2 linked regions of the Rattus norvegicus genome follow. The protein of the gene in region 1 interacts with the protein of each later gene in a biochemical or structural test. Links are inferred from orthologs where the notes say so. Each region holds a gene or a part of one and is shown on either strand. Other genes may lie near its edges.

Region 1 (3,521 bases):
TGCCTGCGAATTTCATAAAGTAATTGTTTTTGATAGCTGAGTAATATTTCATTGTGTAGATGTACCACATTTTGTGTATCCATTCCTCTGTTGAAGGGCATCTGGGTTCTTTCCATTTTCTGGCTATTATAAATAAGGCTGCTATGAACATAGTAGAACATGTGGCACTCCTGTCTCAATTGCCTCTCTTTCTAGTCTGTGCTTGTGAGAGTAGGGCATAACCTATTTCTGATTCATCCTGTCACAGATTTCTCTGATTTGTTACTTTGTCTGTCCCTCAATTAAATATCACTTTTAAAGATGGCTGCATCTCTTTACAAATTAAACTTCACTTCATTGTTTGAAATTAAAGGCGTGTACTAAGGTTATGTCTCTATTCCATCTAGATCATAATGTAACAGAGGCTATGTCATTCCATCCAGAAAATATAGCCTTAGAAAGTTTTTAGTTGTTTTTCTTTGCCAGAGCACCCTGGTTGCTGGATTAAAATTTCTCTACAATTTACCTTACATGTGTAACTCACCATTAAATAACCTTTAGTTTGCCTTAAATTAACTTTTACTATTACCTGTGAAGAGTTGATCTCAATGAATTTTCCCAATTTCGATGATTATAATGCAAATTTTCATAAGAAAAGATTCATCTGTTTTACCCATTCCTTCATGATTAACAAATCAGAGTAACTTTAAAATATATTTGTGACTAGGAAATAGTACATTTATTTACTGAAAACCATCAAGTTTATTGGTTAGTATTTTTGAACCTAACTGATCATATATTTTACCCATAAAATGTTAACATTTGCTGCAATTATGATTTCAGTAGAATTCTTCTCATGGTAAATGTTTTCCTATACCACAATATCACTTAATGAAACATATGCAGCCCCAATTTTGCTATCCTTATGTCTACAAATGTAGATATAACATAGTGAATATAATGAATATAATCTTATGTTTTCCTCACTTTAAAATTAAAAAGGAGCTTATAAATTACAGCTTGAGGGAGAAAACTAAGTGTCTTGAGTATAAAGGCAATACTGTTTTATTTTTGTACCTATAACAATGATTACCATCTATATTTATAGAGAATCTATTTTACCCTAGAATTTACAGGATGTTTAGAGGGTTTAAATTTAATTTTTATCTATTTATTTCTAAATAAGCTGTGTCTACCCAAACTTGGTACTTTTCTTATTCCAAAAACGAGTTAATAGTGTTATCTGTGGCAATTTTACAATAGTATCTGGTGCCATAGAGGAATGCAATAAACAGTCATGAATAATATCTGAACAAATTGATTTTAAGCAATCCTTGTCTCATTCTTGTACCACAAATTAAAACCTTCATTATAAATAATCATTTTGCTCATAGTAAATAAATTCATTTGGCATGAGTTACTACAGGATCTGTATTTTAAAATAAAATGATAATAAAAGAACAAATATAGAATCCATAGATGAAAGTGTTTATTTGTTGATAACATCTAGGAGTAAGAAATCTACTGTCTGATAGAGATATACTCTTATCTTCTATCCATGAATACTTCTGTGACTGTACTTGTACAAGTTTTATTTGAATCTACTTGAAACTTGCCAAGATGTGCGGTTCTTCATCTATGATTTTGTCTTTTTTGACTTTGCTTGCAGTTATTGGGACATAGACTTCATTTTAAAATGACTTTTCTTCTTCGTGTCAGTTTTTTTGTACATTTATTTTATACTTTAGAAATCATTATGTGAGGAGTTCATTCAGTTTAACGAGGTGTCAAAAATATTCATATCTCCAAAAGGCTAAATATGTTGCTATAGAAAAATAACCGAGGCGTAGTGGTTTAATTTTCAAATTACAGGTATTGCTTTATAGATGAGTCTTAAATTGTCTGCCTTTAACAAATACATGATCAAATTAATAAACATGTAATATTAATTGAAAAATCTCTAGGTTTAGTTATTAAACATATATAATTATGATTAAAATATCTATCACATTTGTATAACAAAATTTCCCAATTCTACATAAAGTGCATTACTTGAATCTTAATGCTATTTTTTCCTACAGGCTACTCAGAAAGAGATTGAGAAACAGAAGGCTCACTTGAAGAGTGTCACGGAACTAGGAGATTCCTTGAAAACAGTATTGGGCAAGAAAGAAACTTTGGTGGAAGATAAACTGACGCTTCTGAATAGTAACTGGATAGCTGTCACCTCCAGAGTAGAAGAATGGCTAAATCTTTTGTTGGTAAGAGTAGAGGCAGGAAGCTTTTTGTCTTAGCTGAGGTTTTATTGTTGTGAAGAGACACCATGACTATAGCAACTCTTTTAAAGGAAAACATTTAATTATGGCTGACTTAAAGTTTTAGTGACTTAGTTCATTATTATCATGGTGGAAAACATGGGAATATACAGCCAGACAGAGTGCTGAGAGTTCTACTTCATGATATCCAGGCAGTAGAATGGGAGATTGTGTTCCATATTGGGCAAAGCCTGGGCAAATGAGACCTCAAAGCCCATCCCCCAATGAGATTTTCTACATGGCCTAACCTACTCTAGTAAAGCCATGTCTTACAATAGTGGGGGCTGTGGGGACCATTTTCTTTTAAAACACAACATTTCTTTTTCACTCTTCCTTCTCAGCAAGCTAACAAAACAAAAACAAGAAAATAATAAATTAGGAATGATACTTGTGTTTGAAAATTCAACTGCTCTCTATATATGCTGATATAGAGTCTCATAATTCCAAGATATTTTTCAATACTTAGTATTACTTTCTATTTCTGATGTTACTTAAAGGTAATTTAAATATTTCATTGTTTTCTTTGTAGACAGTGGAAAAATGCTTTAGGAATTTTGTCTAACCAGATATATTTCCATACAATTCAGGAATACCAGAAACACATGGAATCCTTTGATCAGAATGTAGAGCATATCACCAAGTGGATCATTCACACAGATGAACTTTTAGATGAATCTGAAAAACGGAAACCACAACAAAAGGAAGATATTCTTAAGGTAGCAAATAAAATATGAGAAGTAGTTTTCAAACTGTACCTGTTATGACAATTATGTTTCAACTGCAAAATACCAAAGACTTTCTTATAAAGCCTAATATCTTTATTTTTTTCTACCTGTGTTGCTTCCATCTTTTGATCATCCATCATTATTTTCTATCTTACGACATTCATTCCTTTCTATTCCTCCTCATTTTAGAAATCAATGTCATTGTAGAGATCTATAATTTGGGTATCATGTCTGACCTCTCTCTATATGTGCTAAAACCATAAAGGGTTGCACAAATTACTTTTCTGCCATATTGCAAGTCATTCTTACTTTAATAGCAATATTATTTTCTGCACCATCAAAATAGTTTCTCGTTGATTCATACAGCCTTTATTAAATACTCATTTTTTCTATCTACTAGTGTCAAAGATCAAACTTAGTATGCATTTAGTTTGCCTGCTCTAAAAACACTAAATTAAGGGTTGTACAAACTCCCAGGTGTTTTAATATTTATGTCATTCTA
Region 2 (3,521 bases), on another chromosome or scaffold:
CACGCTCATGTCAGACCCTCCTCCACAGTGTCTGGTATGGCTGCCTCTTCTGCATCGACTGGCAAATGTAGAAAATGGTGAGTAGTTACTGCTGGACCAAAACGCTATTTAAATTGCTCAAATTCAACCATAAAGTCTACAGTTAGGAAGCCCATGACAGTTTTAGGGAAATTTGTTCAGTGGATCATTTAACAAAACTACCTCCTGACTCATCAAACCTTTTATGCTACAACATTAGGGTGAGGAATGCTAAAATAATGACGATAAAGGTGAAGGTGAAGGTGAAGGCGATGGTGGTGGTGATGGTGGTGATAAATTGTAACTTCAATTATAAGCTACTTGTGTTCGATAGAAAAATCCCAAGTAAAGGATTGTTTTAGAAGGGAATGTCCGATGCTGGTATCTAAAACATTAACCATTTTTTCCCAAAGCAATCACCCAGAAATAGGTGAGAGCAATAAATGACAGCAACTTGCTCACCTTACGGCACCTACCTGTTCAATGTGATAGCCGTCCATTAAGTAAATCTATGTTAAAGACAAGGTAGTATAAATTCCACTGCATGTTTCTTTTCAAAAATAGCAAAGGTTTCTAATATAAGAGATGTTTACCATTGACATATCCAGATTTAAATGTAAAATACAACCTAGGATACGGTTTAAAGAAATTTACACATAGAACAAACTAGAGCCTCTATTTAATGTTTGTGGTTTTTCCGTCAAACCACAGAATTTCTCCAACTTGAATAGAAAATAATGTAGCCCATGTCTATTTGTCGCTTTAATGCACACTGGGGAAAGATGACTTCGTTTTAAATTCTCATTTGGAATTTTTAGCATCTGACTCTGTTGTCTCTAACTATTCCTAAGTTTATTTTGAACAAAGTTTAGAGAATAAAGTTCCTAGTTCCTTTGCAATTACTAAAAATCACATATATGTAATCACATGTAAGTACCTGCTGTGAGACAGGATGGGGTCAGAGTTCTGGTGGGCATCCCAGAAGGAGCTGTGTGTCAATCAGAACTCTGTGAAGGAGCTGTGCGCCAATCAGAACTCTGTGAAGGAGCCGTGCGCCAATCAGAACTCTGTGAAGGAGCTGTGTGCCAATCAGAACTCTGTGAAGAAGCTGTGCGCCAATCAGAACTCCGTAAGAGGCCGTGCACCAATCAGAACTCTGTGAAGAAGCCGTGCGCCAATCAGAAATCTGTGAAGGAGCTGTGCGTCAATCAGAACTTTGTGAAGGAGCCGTGCGCCAATCAGAACTCTGTGAAGGAGCCGTGCGCCAATCAGAACTCTGTGAAGAAGCTGTGCGCCAATCAGAACTCTGTGTAGAAGCTGTGCACCAATCAGAACTCTGTGAAGGTGTGAAGGCGCTGTATGCCAATCAGAACTCTGTGATTTCAGTTCTCACATCTCAGTGCTTCCTGTTACCCACCAGAGATCTATTTCTTAGGCATCTGGCCAGCGTGGTTACCCAGACGTACCTCATACCCCTGACTTTCCCAGAAGCCAGAAGATGCTTGTTGTCTTCTTTAAACAACAACCCATCAAGAACACGATATGTTCTTTTCTCCCATTTTACTTTTTACCATCATTTATTCTATCTGTATTACTTTTCTTGGCCAGTTAGTAAGATGATAGCAACAATGCAAGAAGTTATTGTTGTTATTGTTGTTGCTGCTACTGCTGCTGCTGCTGCTGCTGTCTTAGTATCTTTAGCTCATGGCATGAAGACAGTTTGGATTTGATTATGTGTTAGGTTCAATCTCAAAGCCTTTACTTGGCCAGCTTGGCACTTCACATTTCCTAGCAACAAGTGAAGTGTCTCTCAAGCAGTCTAAGTCAGAGCCATGTTCAAATAATTTCTTCATCTTTTGGGGTCCTATCCTTCTACCCCAGAAAAGTGTGTGTGTGTGTGTGTGTGTGTGTGTGTGTGTGTGTGTGTGTGTGTGTCTCAGATAAAGGCAGTGTCACTCATTAAATAAGCCCACTAGTGACTATTTTTTTTAAGAACTCAGTTCTCTCATCTAGCTTTTCTATTCCCCCATTTCATTTCTTTTATCTTCCTCCCATTTTTTTACTTTGTTAACACCTTGCCCTTGCCTACTAGGTCCTGAACTGTGTCCAGCCACTGTGCTGCTGTGTCCTCATGACATCTCCTGGGCTCCTGGAGATGATATGGGGGGAAAACTGGTCAGTTTGGACAATTTACATTCTTATGACATAAGAAATAGGGGTAGACAGCCAAGGTCGTTACAGTAATCTGTGCTGCTAGAGGACATTGATTCTTCGTCCCATTTTATACCTACTCACCCTCTCACCCCCACATACAAACATGCATATGCTTCAAAAGTGCAGTTCTAGAAATAAACTAAATGCTTCTCTCAATCAGAATTGGTCTGAAATCAGCAGGGCACACAGCTGAAGAACAGAATTCCCCGAGAGAGGTGTTTTTCTTGTCTAGTTCACACTCCTGTTTTTTTTTTTTTTCTTCCTCATTTACTTCCTCCCTAGTCTTCCATCCGGTTGAGTGTTCCTACTGTCACAGTGAGAGCATGATGGGATTCCGATACCGATGCCAGCAGTGTCACAACTACCAGCTCTGCCAGGACTGCTTCTGGAGGGGCCATGCAGGGGGTTCTCATAGCAACCAGCACCAAATGAAGGAGTATACATCATGGGTAAGTGACTTCCGGGCAGTGTTGAAAGGGGGTGTGAGAGTGTCATCCAGGATGAAGAAGAATGTTTAGGGTGTTTACGGTGTAGGTTTCTCTGTTGCTGTGATGAAGAGCAAAGCAAAAGGAAACTCACTCATGGAAGGAACTCCCAGTTCTCCAGTCATCACTGAGGGAGGCTAGGGCAGGAACTCCAGTAGGAGCCTAGAGGCAGGAACGGAAACAGAGGCCATGGAAGAGCCTGGTTTGTTGACTTGCTCTCATGGCTTGCTCAACCTGTTTTCTTTTTTTTTTTTTTTTTTTTTTTTGGTTCTTTTTTTCGGATCAACCTGTTTTCTTATAGCACCCGGGACCACCTCCCCGGGATGGGATGTTCCACAGAGGGCTGGGCCCTCCCACAGTGATGGTTAATCAAGGAAATGACCTGCAGACTTGTCGATGGGATGATTTTTCTCACTTGTGGTTCCCTTTCCCAGATGACCCCGACTTGTGTGAAGTTGACCAGAAAACAAACAAAAACAAAAAATTACCCAGGACACATGATGATAGAATTAAGGGCAAACTTAATTTCTACTCCAATGTCCCCTGGCCTGCCATTCCTGATCCTATTGGGACCTCTTACTGTGTGTATCTAAGCTGAGTGTGACTTCCTGAGACTTTAAATACTGGAAGAACCAATCATTGATTCTTCTCAGGATATAGACAGGTCAGAGCTGATCTAACCAACAGAAAAGCAGGCAGGCCTGGGTCCAGCTTACTTTACTGTAAAGTACACATTTTTTCGATCTTTTACTTCTCTTTGTTTCTGTACGTATTGATAAACAAGATACTGCATGTTTTGTTTTG

Evidence for each region. The genes of interacting proteins can lie anywhere in the genome.
Region 2: the proteins of Dmd (region 1) and Dtna form a complex in vitro, tested with the Homo sapiens proteins (3 studies listed by BioGRID and IntAct, with this or other methods). The link is inferred for Rattus norvegicus from reciprocal best matches to the Homo sapiens genes DMD and DTNA.

The regions. Positions count from the first base shown.
Region 1 is NC_086039.1:52,112,080-52,115,600, forward strand, and holds part of Dmd (dystrophin), read left to right. Parts: intron 1-2,060; coding exon 2,061-2,240; intron 2,241-2,881; coding exon 2,882-3,010; intron 3,011-3,521. UniProt on the Homo sapiens protein: Anchors the extracellular matrix to the cytoskeleton via F-actin. Ligand for dystroglycan.
Region 2 is NC_086036.1:15,154,017-15,157,537, forward strand, and holds part of Dtna (dystrobrevin, alpha), read left to right. Parts: coding exon 1-77; intron 78-2,514; coding exon 2,515-2,681; intron 2,682-3,521. UniProt on the Homo sapiens protein: May be involved in the formation and stability of synapses as well as being involved in the clustering of nicotinic acetylcholine receptors.